Linked DNA regions of Oryctolagus cuniculus. The protein of the gene in region 1 interacts with the protein of each later gene in a pairwise test. Links are inferred from orthologs where the notes say so. Each region holds a gene or a part of one and is shown on either strand. Other genes may lie near its edges.

Region 1 (4,056 bases):
AGCACTTGGGCCATCCTCCACTGCACTCCCTGGCTACAGCAGAGAGCTGGCCTGGAAGAGGGGTAACCAGGACAGAATCTGGCACCCCAACCAGGACTAGAACCCGGTGTGCTGGCGCTGCAAAGCAGAGGATTAGCCTATTGAGCCATGGCGCTGGCGCATTGACTTTTAAAACACAGAGGGAAAGGTTTGCCATTTGCTGGTTCACTCCCCACCTGGCCACAACGGCCAGAGCTGTGCCAATCTGAAGCCAGGGGCCAGGAGCTTCTTCCAGGTTTCCCACATGGGTGCAGGGGCCCAAGCACTTGGACCATTTTCTACTGCTTTCCCAGGCCATAGCAGAGAGCAGGATTGGAATTGGGGCAGCGGGGACTTGAACCGATGCCCATATGGATGCCAGCACTGCAGGCAGAGTTAGCCTCCTATGCCACAGCGCTGGCCCCAGCACACTGTTTTCAAGGTTGATCCATCTTGGACCATGTGTCAGTACTTTATTCCTTCTTATGGCTGAAGCACATTGTGCTGTAGGGAGAGACCACGTTTTCGTCACTGTTGGTTATTAAAAATAACACTGCTGGAGCTGGTGTTGTAGCACAGCCGGATGTGATGCCAGAATCCCATATGGGCGCAGGTTCAAGTCCCAGCTGCTCCACTTTCGATCCAGCTCCCTGCTAACGTGCCTGGGAAAGCAGCAGCAGAAGGCCCAAGTGCTTGGAGCTCTGGCACCCACGTGGGATACCCGGATGGAATTCCAGGCTCTTGGCTCCGGCCTGGCCCATCCCTGGCCATTGTGGCCATCTGGGGAGTGACCCAACGGATGGAAAAATCTCTTTGTCTCTCCCTCTCTGTTAACTCTGCCTTTCAAACAAATAAACAAATCTTAAAAAAATAATAATGCAGCTATGGACATTTACCCCAAGATTTCATTTCTCTTGGGTATATTTGCAGCGCCTGGCCGTGTGACCCTGGGCACCAAACCCCACCTGTGCCTGGATTCTCACACCTGCGAGCGCAGACTGAATCGGCTAGCGTGTGAGTTAACCAGGGTACATCGCCTGGATGGTGTGTATTGGTGTCCCTCTTGGGTCCCACTACCAGATCCGATTCAAAGCGGGTGAGCCTCGTGTTCCACGCGGGGAACTAGACCTCAGCCCACCGAGCTTGCGCATCTGCCTGCCGCGCCCCGCCCCGCCGAAGCCCCGCCCCACGCCCCGCCCCCGTCACGTGGGCCCCGGCAGCCCTCGCGCGCCACCCCGCGGCTCTCGCGCACGCGCGGCTCCGGCCCGGGGGCGGGTTCCGCGCCGGCCCTTGGCGACCACCAGCTCAGGGGCGGCCGCACGGCGTCGCGCGCACGCTCGGGCGGGGCTGCCAGCTCTTCTCCAGCGGCTGCTGAGACGCCGCTGCCGGGCCGAAGATGGACCTCCCGGTGCTGCTCCCCGCCCCGGCCGCGCGCAGAACCCAACATGGCGGCGGCGATCCCGGCAGGCTCCGCCGAGGCCCGGGGCCTCCGCTCGGCTCGGGCCCCGCGCGCCGCCGCCTGCTGCTGCTGCGGAGCCCTGAAGATGGCGGTCCTGGGCCGCGGCACGGGGAGGCCCCCGGGCCGAGCCCGCCGCCAGCCGAGGACGGCGGCGACTCCTTCGTGGTGCTGCTGGAGGTGGCGCGCGGCACCACCGCCGCCGAGACTCCCGAGCGGCGGGAGGCCGAGCCCGCCCCCAGCTCCGCCGGAGGACCCGAGCAGGGCCTCGGCGGTGCGGCCGCCGCCCCCGGCGCCGCCCTCGCGGGCACCGTCACCATCAACAACCAGGACCTGCTGGTGCGCTTCGACAACGGGGTCTTCACGCTGGCGCCCGCGCCGCCGCCCGCGCCGGGGCCGGAGCCGCCGCCGCCGCCGCACCGTCCGCCCGCGCCGCCCGGCACGGCGACCGCGCACCCCGCCGAGAATCGCCGTGGGACCGCGGGCGCCGGCCCCGGCGCACCGGGCTACCGCTGCCCCGAGCCGCAGTGCGCGCTGGCCTTCGCCAAGAAGCACCAGCTCAAGGTGCACCTGCTGACGCACAGCGGCCTCCAGGGCCGGCGGCCCTTCAAGTGCCCGCTGGACGGCTGCGGCTGGGCCTTCACCACCTCGTACAAGCTCAAGCGGCACCTTCAGTCGCACGATAAGCTGCGGCCCTTCGGCTGCCCGGTGGGCGGCTGCGGCAAGAAGTTCACCACCGTCTACAACCTCAAGGCGCACATGAAGGGCCACGAGCAGGAAAGCCTGTTCAAGTGCGAGGTGTGCTGTGAGCGCTTCCCCACGCACGCCAAGCTCAGCTCCCACCAGCGCAGCCACTTCGAGCCCGAGCGCCCGTACAAGTGTGATTTTCCCGGTAACGGCGCGCCACGGGCTGGCGGGGGCGGGCGGGGGTCCCAGGCGGCCGCCCCAAGGTGCCAGACTCCCCTGCTTGGGGCTGGGGACCGAGGGCCGGGAACAGGTGCCTTCCGGTGTGTTTGTGCGTGCCCTGCCTGGTATGTGCTGGGTGATTGGATGTGAGACCCGGACAGGGTTGCTGTGCGCAATAGTCCCAGCTGGTCTCCCCGGCGGGGGCGGCAACGGATGCTCGCTTGGGCTGCCTCCGGTTAGTGAGAGTGAGAAGATGCAGGGACCACAGCCCAGACCTCAGACCCTCAGGGCCGTGCCCCACCGGCGTGGCGCGGCCCCGGTTTTGTGCCTTTTGTATCTTGATTTCATTTGGGCGTGCCGGTTTAGCAGAGTTTTAAAAAGTGATCCTCTGTCAAGGTTTACAGCGGCCCTGGTGTTCCGGCCTGTGGACTGTCTCCCCTCTGGGGAGAACACACTGGCTCAGAGCCTGCCTCTCTTACGGGAATCTGATGGTGGCTGGGACCTCCCGCCGGGTGTAGGGCAGGGCAGGTCAGGGACCCGGTGCCTCCAGGTGGGCCCCGTGTTTTGTGTTGGCTGACAGGTGAGCTTTGGGAGAGGTGGGAGAGGGACCGGTGTGGCGCCTTGCAGTGGCCCAGATCTGAGCTAGCTGAGGGCTTGAGCCAGGGTATGGCAGGGGAGTGGGGAGGGGCTTCCCGCAGGGGACTGCAGAGGGAGCATCAGAGGGCACGGCTACTGATCTGGGGAGCGGTCTCGGTGAGGAAGGGAGAGTCGGGTCCAGGTGTACCTTACCAGTTGGGAACTGTTGGGAGGGTGGGCTCCTGATTGAGGCCGAAGTGCGGGAACTTAGGGTGTTAACAGAGAACCGCATTTCCCGGTTGTTGTCGCTGGGAACGTCGGGTTCCTTGGTCCACGCGCTGTCTTCACAGTGTGGCGACAGCTCGTTCAGGGCTCTGAGAAGAGCCGCAGCAGAGGCACCTGTTAAACGTTGTGCCGCCTCGGACGCCCACCCTGTCTGATCTCCGGGTGCTGTGTCACGGGAGAAGTGCTGGGTGGCAGTCTGGGCACCGGGGACGAGGAGCTTGCTCGGGCTGGGGGCTCAGCTGGGGGCCGAGGGTTGAGCAGATGGAGAGAGCAGGGAGCCCCGCGGAAGTGGACAAACAGATCCTGAGAAGCCAGAGGCGGAGGAGGGGCTGCGGTTGCAGAGGATGGGGGGGGGGGGGGTCGTGCATGTGTGGGCCTTCGGAGTCTGCCCCCACCAGACAAAGTCATGCTCCTTAGTTAACATCTCTCGGGGTTTCCTTGGGTCCCACACGAGCAGCCTTGTCGCCTGAGGTTGTGGAAGGGACGCAGAAGGGCGTGGAGCTGCAGAACTAGCCGGCGGATGACGGTCACTGGGGGACTGTCTCGTGACCCGGCGTTCCGTCTCCAGGTCGTAGGTGTGCCTGTCGCCTCTTCGCAGCTGCCCTGCTGTGGCTGTCACAGAGGGAAACTTCTGAGACACCCCCCCACCCCCACCCCGGCCTCTTCGCAGCTGCCCTGCTGTGGCTGTCACAGAGGGAAACTTCTGAGACACCCCCCCCACCCCCACCCCGGCCTCTTCGCAGCTGCCCTGCTGTGGCTGTCACAGAGGGAAACTTCTGAGACGCCCCCCCACCCCCACCCCGGCGGGCACGGCG
Region 2 (3,562 bases), on another chromosome or scaffold:
GGTTTGCGCTGCCCAGGCCCACTGTAGACCTCGGTTAGCCGCAGCCTCCTGCCCTGCGGTCCCGCCTGCTGGGCGCCAGCGCCATGGCCACGGAGGAGAAGAAGCCCGAGACCGAGGCCGCCAGAGCCCAGCCCACCCCTTCCTCGTCCGCCACTCAGAGCAAGGTGGGGACCTGACGGCACTGCCCCCCTCCCGGCCTGGGGCGGCAGAGGTTAGGACTGGGCCTGCAGGGCCGGGCTGATGTCGCCGCCCGCCTTCCCCGAGTGACCGCAGTCCTGGTGAACGCCCGCGGCAGCTTCGTACAAAACACGGGCGCTCGGTCCTGCTCCCGTCTGCGGAACTCGGCCCTCGGCCCCAGCAGGCCCTGGGCGGGGATGCGGGCCCTGGTCTGGGCGGTGGGATGCGGGCCCTGGTCTGGGCGGTGGGATGGGGGCCCTGGTCTGGGCGGTGGGATGCGGGCCCTGGTCTGGGCGGTGGGATGGGGGCCCTGGTCTGGGCGGTGGGATGCGGGCCCTGGTCTGGGCGGTGGGATGCGGGCCCTGGTCTGGGCGGTGGGATGGGGGCCCTGGTCTGGGCGGTGGGATGCGGGCCCTGGTCTGGGCGGTGGGATGCGGGCCCTGGTCTGGGCGGTGGGATGCGGGCCCTGGTCTGGGCGGTGGGATGCGGGCCCTGGTCTGGGCGGTGGGATGCGGGCCCTGGTCTGGGCGGTGGGATGTGGGCCCTGGTCTGGGCGGTGGGATGGGGGCCCTGGTCTGGGCGGTGGGATGCGGGGGCCTTTGGTGAAGGTACCAGGCCTGCAGGTGCAGCCCAGGGAAGCTGAACCAGGCTGGAGCTGCTGGGCCTGGGACGTGGCAGGGCCACGTGGGGGGGTTGGGGTGGGTGGGTTGGGGGTGGAGGTGGTCGCATCAGAGGGGCTGGGGGGGTGGGGGAGGTGGGGGTGGTCGCATCAGAGGGGCTGGGGGGGTTGGGGGGGTGGGGGTGGTTGTGTCAGCGGGGCTGGGGGGGCTGGGGGGGTGGGGGTGGTTGTGTCAGCGGGGCTGGGGGTCTGGGGTGGTCACATCAGAGGGGCTGGGGGGGTTGGGGGTGGTCACATCAGAGGGGTTGGGGGGGTTGGGGGTGGTCACATCAGAGGGGTTGGGGGGGTGGGGGTGGTTGCGTTAGCGGGGCTGGGGGGGTGGGGGTGGTTGTGTCAGCGGGGCTGGGGGGGCTGGGGTGGTCACATCAGAGGGGCTGGGGGGGTTGGGGGGGTGGGGGGTGTTGCATCAGTGGGGCTGGGGGGGCTGGGGTGGTCACATCAGAGGGGCCTCTGGGGGGAACCGTGACCTCGGGTTGCAGGGTGGCTCCGGGTAGAGTCTCCAGCAGGCGCCTGGCCTAGGGGGGCTGCGCCGGCCTTCAGCTGGGGTCCACGTGGCTGCTAGCTGGGGGGGGGGGCTTCTGCTAGTGGGACCTCTGCCTTCTCTCCAACAGCCCACGCCTGTGAAGCCCAACTACGCCCTGAAATTCACCCTGGCCGGCCACACGAAAGCCGTGTCCTCCGTGAAATTCAGCCCCAACGGCGAGTGGCTGGCCAGCTCCTGTAGGTGCCGCGGGCGGGGCGGGTGGGGGGGCGATCTCCCCGCGCTGGGGTCCGGGAAGCCCAGGCAGTGGGTGGCCGAGCGACCATGCTCCCTGAGCCCCAGCCCCGCCTCCCTCTTTCTTTCAGCTGCTGATAAACTCATTAAAATCTGGGGCGCATACGACGGGAAGTTTGAGAAGACCATCTCGGGCCACAAGCTGGTGGGTGTCCCCGGGAGCGGGGCTGGAGGAGGCCTGGCGGGGGAAGGGCCCCCCGCGTGTTCCGCCGCGCTCTCCCTGTGCCCACACTGGCCCCCGCCGGCAGGCACAGCGCCCGGGCCTCTCGGGGGTCACAGCGCCCCGGCCTCTCCCGGGGTCACAGTGCCCGGGCCTCTCGCGGGGTCACAGCACCCGGGGCCTCTCGGGGGTCACAGCGCCCCGGCCTCTCGCGGGGTCACAGTGCCCGGGCCTCTCGGGGGTCACAGCGCCCCGGGGCCTCTCGGGGGGGGGGGTCACAGCGCCCCGGCCTCTCGGGGTCACAGCGCCTGGGCCTCTCGGGGGTCACAGCGCCCCGGGGCCTCTCGGGGGGGTGTCACAGCGCCCCGGGGCCTCTCGGGGTCACAGCGCCCGGGGCCTCTCGGGGGTCACAGCGCCCCGGGGCCTCTCGGGGGGGGGGTCACAGCGCCCCGGCCTCTCGGGGTCACAGTGCCTGGGCCTCTCGGGGGTCACAGCGCCGCGGGGCCTCTCGGGGTCACAGCGCCTGGGCCTCTCGGGGGGGGGGTCACAGCGCCCCGGCCTCTCGGGGGGGTGGGTCACAGCGCCCGGGCCTCTCGGGGGTCACAGCGCCCCGTGGCCTCTCGGGGGGGGGGTCACAGCGCCCGGGCCTTTCGCGGGGTCACAGCTCCCGGCCTCTCGGGGTCACAGCGCCCCGGCCTCTCGGGGGGGGGGTCACAGCGCCCGGGCCTCTCGGGGGTCACAGCGCCCCGGGGCCTCTCGGGGTCACAGCGCCTGGGCCTCTCGGGGGTCACAGCGCCCCGGGGCCTCTCGGGGGGGGGGTCACAGCGCCCTGGCCTCTCGGGGGGGTGGGTCACAGCGCCCGGGCCTCTCGGGGGTCACAGCGCCCCGTGGCCTCTCGGGGGGGGGGTCACAGCGCCCCCGGCCTCTCTGGGGTCACAGCGCCCCGGCCTCTCGGGGTCACAGCGCCCCGGCCTCTCGGGGTCACAGCGCCCCGGCCTCTCGGGGTCACAGCGCCCCGGCCTCTCGGGGGTCGGCTCTGGGCCGAGCTCTGTCGCTGCCGGAGCTCACCGTGGTCTCCCCCAGGGAATATCCGACGTGGCCTGGTCCTCAGATTCCAACCTCCTCGTCTCTGCCTCCGACGATAAGACCTTGAAGATCTGGGACGTGAGCTCGGTGAGCCGCGCGCGCCCGCGGGGCCCTGGGGGTGGTCCCGGCCCCGCCCGCCGGAGTCTGAGGGGCTTTGTTGCAGGGCAAGTGCCTGAAGACCTTGAAGGGCCACAGCAACTACGTCTTCTGCTGCAACTTCAACCCGCAGTCCAACCTCATCGTGTCGGGCTCCGTGAGTGCGGGGCGGGGCTGCGCGGGGGCGGGGCGGGGCGGGGCTCCGTGAGTGTGGGGCGGGGCTGCGCGGGGGGCGGGGTGGGGCGGGGCTCCGTGAGTGCGGGGCGGGGCTGCGCGGGGGCGGGGCAGGGCTCCGTGAGTGCGGGGCGGGGCTCCGTGAGTGCGGGGCGGGGCGGGGCTCCGTGAGTGCGGGGCGGGGCTGCGCGGGGGCGGGGCGGGGCTCCGTGAGTGCGGGGCGGGGCGGGCTGCGCGGGGGGGGGGGGCGGGGCGGGGCTCCGTGAGTGCGGGGCGGGGCGGGCTGCGCGGGGGGGGGGGGCGGGGCGGGGCTCCGTGAGTGCGGGGCGGGGCTGCGCGGGGGCGGGGCGGGGCTCCGTGAGTGCGGGGCGGGGCTGCGCGGGGGCGGGGCGGAGCTCCGTGAGTGCGGGGCGGG
Region 3 (3,562 bases), on another chromosome or scaffold:
GCTCTCACTTCATGATTTCCCATTTGGCAGTGTGTTTACATTATTACCACCGCTACCTGGACCCTTTTTCACGGAGCTTTCTCGTCTGCTTGCTCCCCGCTCCTGCCCCTTTAGGCATGGCCAGACTCGTGACCGAGTGCATGACCGGAACTTGAAGAACATGTACCCTCCTGCTTCCTTCCCCCCTCACAAAGCCGCCACTGTGAAATCTGCGGGGGCCGCCCCAGCTGAGCCTGAAGAGCTCCCGCCTCCCGTGACCCAGGCACTCCCCTCGCCAGCCTCCACTGCAACCCCGCCCCAGACCCCTGCCCACCCACAGCCTTTAGTCCTCCCACCCTTGGCCACAGAGGGGGCCGAATGTCTGAATGTCGATGACCAGGAAGAAGGGAGCCCGAGCACCCAGGACCCTGAGCCCGCATCAGGTGGTGGTGGCAGTGGGGTAAGCAAGAAGGAGCAGCTGTCTGTGAAGAAGCTTCGGGTAGTACTGTTTGCCCTGTGCTGCAACACGGAACAGGCAGCCGAACACTTCCGAAACCCCCAGCGACGTATCCGGCGCTGGCTTCGGCGCTTCCAGGCCTCTCAGGGGGAGAACCTAGAGGGCAAGTACCTGAGCTTTGAGGCCGAGGAGAAACTGGCTGAGTGGGTGCTGACCCAGCGAGAGCAGCAGCTGCCTGTGAATGAGGAGACCTTGTTCCAAAAGGCCACCAAGATAGGACGTTCTCTGGAGGGGGGCTTTAAGATCTCATACGAGTGGGCCGTGCGCTTCATGCTGCGACACCACCTGACTCCGCACGCCCGGCGGGCCGTGGCCCACACCCTCCCTAAGGACGTGGCCGAGAACGCCGGGCTCTTCATAGAGTTCGTACAGCGGCAGATCCACAACCAAGACCTGCCCTTGTCTATGATCGTGGCCATCGATGAGATCTCCCTGTTCCTGGACACGGAGGTGCTGAGCAGCGACGACAGGAAGGAGAACGCCCTGCAGACGGTGGGCACGGGGGAGCCCTGGTGCGACGTCGTGCTGGCCATTCTGGCCGACGGCACCGTCCTCCCCACCCTGGTGTTCTACCGAGGACAGATGGACCAGCCTGCTAACGTGCCAGACTCCATACTGCTGGAGGCAAAGGAGAGTGGCTACAGTGACGACGAGATCATGGAGCTGTGGTCCACCCGCGTGTGGCAGAAGCACACGGCCTGCCAGCGCAGCAAAGGCATGCTCGTGATGGACTGCCATCGCACTCACTTGTCGGAGGAGGTCCTGGCCATGCTTAGTGCCTCCAGCACTCTGCCTGCGGTGGTCCCAGCAGGCTGTAGCTCCAAAATCCAGCCACTAGACGTATGCATCAAGCGAACTGTCAAGAACTTCCTGCACAAAAAGTGGAAGGAACAGGCTAGGGAAATGGCAGACACTGCATGTGATTCTGACGTGCTGCTCCAGCTGGTGCTGGTCTGGCTGGGGGAGGTGCTGAGCGTCATAGGGGACTGCCCCGAGCTGGTGCAGCGGTCCTTCCTGGTGGCCAGCGTGCTGCCAGGCCCCGACGGCAACGTCAGCTCCCCCACGAGAAACGCAGACATGCAGGAGGAGCTCATCGCCTCCCTGGAGGAGCAGCTGAAGCTGAGCGGAGAGCAGTCCGAGGAGCCGTCCGCCTCCACGCCCCGGCCCAGGGCGTCTCCTCAAGAGACAGTTGAGCCCGAGAGCCTGCACCAGCTGTTTGAGGGCGAGAGTGAGACCGAGTCTTTCTATGGCTTTGAAGAAGCTGACCTCGATCTGATGGAGATTTGAGTGCTGGGTCACGAGGCATGTGGAGTAGGGGTGGGAAAGCGAGGGAGGGTGGCGGGACTTGGGAAAGGGGACATACCAGGTGGGGTATTTGGTCTATATTTTTTAATTTTATGCCACCACTCCCCAACATTGACTGACAACTTCCCTGTGAATTTGTGGATTAGGAAAACCAATAGTGATCACGTCTGAGCCGAGGAGCTGGCCCATTGGTCATTCAATTCTGCTAAAAACAGGTTTTTGTGACTTTTTTTTAAATTTAAATCACTGTGTTTGGTATTTTTCTGACAAAATCAAGAAAAAGACAAAAAAATCCTTTGTGGGCGAATGTTAAATTGTTTTGTTTCCCCTCTTACCTCAATTGTATCATAGTACTTCTAGAGTTTTTGTTTGTTTTACTGTGTGGCCGACGTCTTTGGGCATGATGCTATCTAACCATTGTCAGTGTGAGAACATTTCTGATGATGAGAAAGACAAAAATATGTAGCTCAAAAACTGGTTTATTATATATATGGATAAACTTTTTTCATTGTGGTCTTAACACTTTTATATAAAAATGAAAATGGAAAAAAAATCCCACTGAACTCTCGCTCTTCCTTCTCCTTTTCTTGCCTTCCCTCTCCAGAGATGTTGGTTTCTACATCAACCCTAGATATGAAATTGTGGCTTTAAAAAAATGCATGAAACCACCTCTGAGCATCCAGAACGATGAATAATTTGTCTTTCCCTCACCATGCTCCTTCCGACAAAAGCAGTATTCTTTGCACTCGCCCCTTCCCCCATTCTCGCCCCCCTCCATCACTCTGGACAAAGGACCATACATGTATCATTAGTGAGCAGGAGGTGCTGAGGTGATCAGAGCGCATGCTAGGGTGCGAGCCATGCCCAGTTTGAGCCTTCATCCTGCAAGCCCCGGGCAGTACCGGCCTTGGTGAGCTTCAGCCTGGGACGTGGACAGGTCCTACAGCCAGGAGCTAATTGCATAAAAAGCGAAGTGTCGACTCTACACAGGAAAGAAAGCCCACTTGTGGACGTTCTGCGTACCCTGTGGCCTTCCCCTATTTTTCTCTTACCACTTAAAGAACCTGACCTGAGAAACAGCACGGAGTGTGCACGGAGAAAAAGACATGAATATTTTTCACTGCCAGCTTCAAGGGAAGAAAATTTTTTCTACAATTTGCATGAGGGATTTTTTTTTAAAGAATTGTATGTATTCGTGGATACAAACCAAAATGTACTGCACCAGAGAAAAGGAGTGCGCAGCACGCCCCCTGTCCCGCAGCTACGCCGCGCACCTGTCCGTCCTGAGGCGGCAGCAGCATCCCCCTCTTGGGAGCCGAGGAGGCAGGCTGCAGGAGCTTCTAAATGCCTCATCTTTAAATGTACGTAAGTGGAACATTTAATAAAATGAGGGGAAATGGATTTATAAGCTTTGTTTTTCTAGGTAGCCCTGTTCAAGGTAGGCTTTCACAGACTGGGAGATGTCGAGAGGGGACAGGCGCGGTGGCGCAGGCTGACACTCTGCCCACTCCTGCCAGTGTTTTTGTTTTTGACCCCCAGTACACTATAATATAGTGAACTGGAGCATCCCCGCAGCACGGCCAGCGTTTGTCATCTGAAGACGACCAAGGATCCATCTGGGCTTCTCATCCCCAGCTTTTTGCCTGATGCCATTTTACTGACAGACTGTGGACTTCCAAGTCAACCCTTTGCCTCGGAGAAAGTTCAAGAACTACGGTCACATCTATCTACAGCAACTTAATCCTCCTCTGGTAGTCTCTG
Region 4 (3,562 bases), on another chromosome or scaffold:
TCGTCACTACTGCCCTCCCCAAGAGCGAGAACTTCAGCCCCGAGGCCCTGGCCACCCCGGCCGCCTACCCGGCCATGGTGCAGGCCCAGATCCACCTGCCTGTGGTGCAGTCGGTGGCGTCCCCCGCGGCGGCTCCGCCCACGCTGCCCCCCTACTTCATGAAAGGTTCCATCATCCAGTTGGCCAACGGGGAGCTGAAGAAGGTGGAGGACTTGAAAACGGAAGACTTCATTCAGAGCGCGGAGATCAGCAACGACCTGAAGATCGACTCGAGCACTGTGGAGAGGATCGAGGACAGCCACAGCCCGGGCGTGGCTGTGATCCAGTTCGCAGTGGGGGAGCACCGAGCGCAGGTAACGTTCACCTGCTGCACAGGTAGGGGGCGCACCCCACCACGCCGCGTCGCCGTCTCTGGGCAACGGGAGTGGCTTCTTTTTTTTAATTATTATTTTTAAAAGGTTTTCTTTTATATTTATTTGAAAGGCACTGTGACAGAGAAAGAGAGCTTCCGTCTGCTGGTTCATTTCCCAGATGGCCACAACAGCCAGGGCTGGGCCAGGAGCTCCATCCAGGTCTCCCACATGGGTGGCAGGGGCCTGGGTACTTGGACCATCTTCTGCTGCTTTCCCAGGCATGTTAGCAGGGAGCTGGATCCAAAGTGGAGCAGCCAGGCCTCCAGTCGGTGTCCTGATATGGGATGCAGGTGGCGGCTTCAACTATTGCACCACAACTCGGGCCCTAAGAGTTGCTTCTGCGAGGCAGAGTTGAGGAGTCTCATTTCTGCCTAGACTGTAGAGCAGGCCTTTCCCAACTGTGTCCTCAAGGAAGTTAAGCCCTGCCTGCCCCTGGTATCTGTTGTTTGCAAGCAATGAAGCGCGCTGCCTCTGAGAGTAGGGATGATCCCATCCTGGGGAGAATTAAGAGATCACAACTCTCGACATCATTTGCGTTCTGTGGTTCTGTTGAGGAGCCCTGGCTGAGCAAGGCTGCGGGGCTGCAGGCTTTTCTAGCAGTCATCCTGCACTTGTCCCTATTAGGAGAAGACGGAGCTGCTTGTCTGGGCGAGGACATCGCAGGCAGAAGCCACCACGTCCATGTTCAAAATAGAGGAATGGCAGGGCCGGTCACAGAGATGACACTTGTTGAAAGGGAGGCTTGTTGTACATCCAGATCGCAGGAGCGGGGAGATGGCCATGCCAGGAAGCAAGGCGAGCAGGAGGCGAACGTCGGCAATTGTGCCATTTCCGGGGGAGGGAGTAGGCGAGCCAGGAGAGCAGGCTTAGGATTGGCTGGCATGAGTAGCTTCAGTGGCTCTGGGACCGCTGGGGGCTGGCCCTGCTGTGAGGGAGCTGTCCCTGTGGTGGTGGGGGCAAGTGGCTTAGTGGCCCTGGGCATGACGGAAGCAACATAGGAGGTGGTGGCATCGGTCGATTTGCTTATGAAAAACACGCTGCCGGGTGAGTTGCTGGCTGTGTCTAGGAATAAACTAGTCCCAGGGGAGGCAGGCCCCCTGGGCTTAGCAAGGTCCCAAGATGTTAAGGCATCAGAAAATACCAGGCTGAAGCCAGGGCTGTGTCCAGCTGACTTCCTCAGCCCCGGTAAAGCCAGTTGCAGCCTTGCTGAGAGATGTTAGAAACTGGACGGGTGATTCACTCTTGATTTCCACGGGCTCCTTCAGCCAACCCTTTTGTCATCTCTCAAGTCACTTGCATAGCCCATTTTTGTGAATCAGCAGTTTCACCGCCCAAGTTTCTGGGAACCAAACAGACTTGGTCCCCAGCTGGGAAGTTCCGTGCCTGTGGAACCTCCGCTCTGGATATGTTGTCCACCCAGGACTATAGGACACTCAGAAATGACAGTGCCTCCTGCTGGCGTGGGTTGAAAACAGTTGGGGAAAAAACTGATATTTGGGACATTCAAAGAAAAAAATAACATAAAAACTGAGTAGAGTTTGAATGGCTTTGAGTATTTTTATTTAGTTAGGTTTAAAGATTTATTTATTTATTTGAAAGAGCAGCACAGATAGAGGAAGAGACACAGAGAAAGATTTTCTATCTCATAATTCACTCCCCAAATGCCCGCAAAAGCAGGGGCTGGGCCAGGCTGAAGCCAGGAGCCAGGAACTCCATCCAGGCCTTCCACGTGGGTGGCCCCAGAATTGCTTTGAATATTTTTTCAAAGATCAAATGAGGGAGGGCATAGACCAGCTTCCCCAAGTGTTTTCCAGAACTGTGAGAAGCACGGGCTGTCCGCTGTTAGGCAGCCTGCCCTGTTGAGGGTCCTTTAGCCCCTTTCCTTTCTTTTCTCCCCCCCCCCCTTTTTTTTTTTTGACAGGCAGAGTGGACAGTGAGAGAGACAGAGAGAAAGGTCTTCCTTTGCTGTTGGTTCACCCTCTAATGGCTGCCGCAGCCGGCGCTGATCTGATTAGCCCCTTTCTTAAGGGTGAGATATCACTGTAGCCTACAGTCTTTGGAAAGGTTCAAGAAAGAATTCTTCAGAATTCTGACGATGATGATGATAATAATAAAAAGAACAGGGCCAGTGTTGTGGTGCAGTGTTAGGCCGCCAGCTGCAGTGCCACCTTCCCATTTCAGAGTGCCAGTTCAAGTCCTGGTTGTACCAGTTCTGATCCAGCTCCCTACTAGTGTGCCTGGGAAAGCAACAAAAGAGGGCCCAAGTGCTTGGACCCCTGCCACGCACGTGAGAGACCCCAGGTGGAGTTCCCAGCTTCAGCCTGGCCCAACCCCATTGCAGACGTTCAGGGAATGAACTAGTGGATGGTCCATGGCTCCCTGTGTCAGTCTGTACCTCTTCCTCTCCTTCTCCTTTTCTCTCTCAGTGTCACTCTGCCTTTTAAAAATAAGAAGAAAACATAGGATTTTAAAAAAGGGCCTAATTATTCAGAACTCCCTACCCACCTGTACTTGCTGTGTACTTCCTACGGGATGTAGGGGTGAGTCCTAGTACAGAGAAAATGGGTAACCTAGAGCGGGGTTCTCTCATGACAGACCCCAGGTGAACCATGGAAAATCACCAAGAGTGAGAAGGAAATGCATTCTTCATGGTGCCTTTAATCCTTGCAGCACGATGGCAAGCAGACAGGTGGGGAAGGGGAATTTGTTGTGCAGTGCAGCTGGTTCCTAGCAGTGCCTCTCCACTTGGGACTTGACGGAGCCTTGAGCTGGGGCTGCCCATCCCAGGCCTTGGCTGCTGAGGTTCTGGAGCCCCACAGCTCTCTTTGGTGCCAGGAGGGGAAGGATCTGAGCAGACTTCAGAAGGCTTGTGGAAAACGGGATGTAAAAGATAAGTGTATTTTGGTGCCCCCAAAATTTGAAATCTGTGCATAGATTCATAGTATGCATTTCCATGAATTTTTTAAAGATTTATTTATTTATCTGAGAGGCAGAGTTATGGGGCGAGATGGGGTGGATACACATGTATATCTCTATATATGTCTATGTGTGTGTGTATATATATATATATATATAGAGAGAGAGAGAGAGAGAGATCTTCCATCGTTGGTTAACTCCCCAGTGGCTGCAATAGCCAGGGCTGGGCCAGG

What was found.
Region 2: the proteins of ZXDC (region 1) and WDR5 interact in binary tests that used the Homo sapiens proteins (3 or more experiments, as listed by UniProt). The link is inferred for Oryctolagus cuniculus from reciprocal best matches to the Homo sapiens genes ZXDC and WDR5.
Region 3: the proteins of ZXDC (region 1) and POGZ interact in binary tests that used the Homo sapiens proteins (3 or more experiments, as listed by UniProt). The link is inferred for Oryctolagus cuniculus from reciprocal best matches to the Homo sapiens genes ZXDC and POGZ.
Region 4: the proteins of ZXDC (region 1) and ATXN1 interact in binary tests that used the Homo sapiens proteins (3 or more experiments, as listed by UniProt). The link is inferred for Oryctolagus cuniculus from reciprocal best matches to the Homo sapiens genes ZXDC and ATXN1.

What each region holds. Positions count from the first base shown.
Region 1 is NC_091441.1:109,539,739-109,543,794, reverse strand, and holds the start of ZXDC (zinc finger protein ZXDC), read left to right. Parts: upstream 1-1,242; 5' UTR 1,243-1,414; coding exon 1,415-2,366; intron 2,367-4,056. UniProt on the Homo sapiens protein: Cooperates with CIITA to promote transcription of MHC class I and MHC class II genes.
Region 2 is NC_091432.1:235,830,795-235,834,356, forward strand, and holds part of WDR5 (WD repeat-containing protein 5), read left to right. Parts: 5' UTR 1-83; coding exon 84-164; intron 165-1,467; coding exon 1,468-1,576; intron 1,577-1,702; coding exon 1,703-1,776; intron 1,777-2,874; coding exon 2,875-2,964; intron 2,965-3,040; coding exon 3,041-3,130; intron 3,131-3,562.
Region 3 is NC_091438.1:46,684,524-46,688,085, forward strand, and holds part of POGZ (pogo transposable element with ZNF domain), read left to right. Parts: intron 1-114; coding exon 115-1,783; 3' UTR 1,784-1,798; exon of another isoform or gene 1,799-2,405; 3' UTR 2,406-3,562. UniProt on the Homo sapiens protein: Plays a role in mitotic cell cycle progression and is involved in kinetochore assembly and mitotic sister chromatid cohesion.
Region 4 is NC_091436.1:143,620,348-143,623,909, reverse strand, and holds part of ATXN1 (ataxin-1), read left to right. Parts: coding exon 1-353; intron 354-3,562. UniProt on the Homo sapiens protein: Chromatin-binding factor that repress Notch signaling in the absence of Notch intracellular domain by acting as a CBF1 corepressor. Binds to the HEY promoter and might assist, along with NCOR2, RBPJ-mediated repression. Binds RNA in vitro.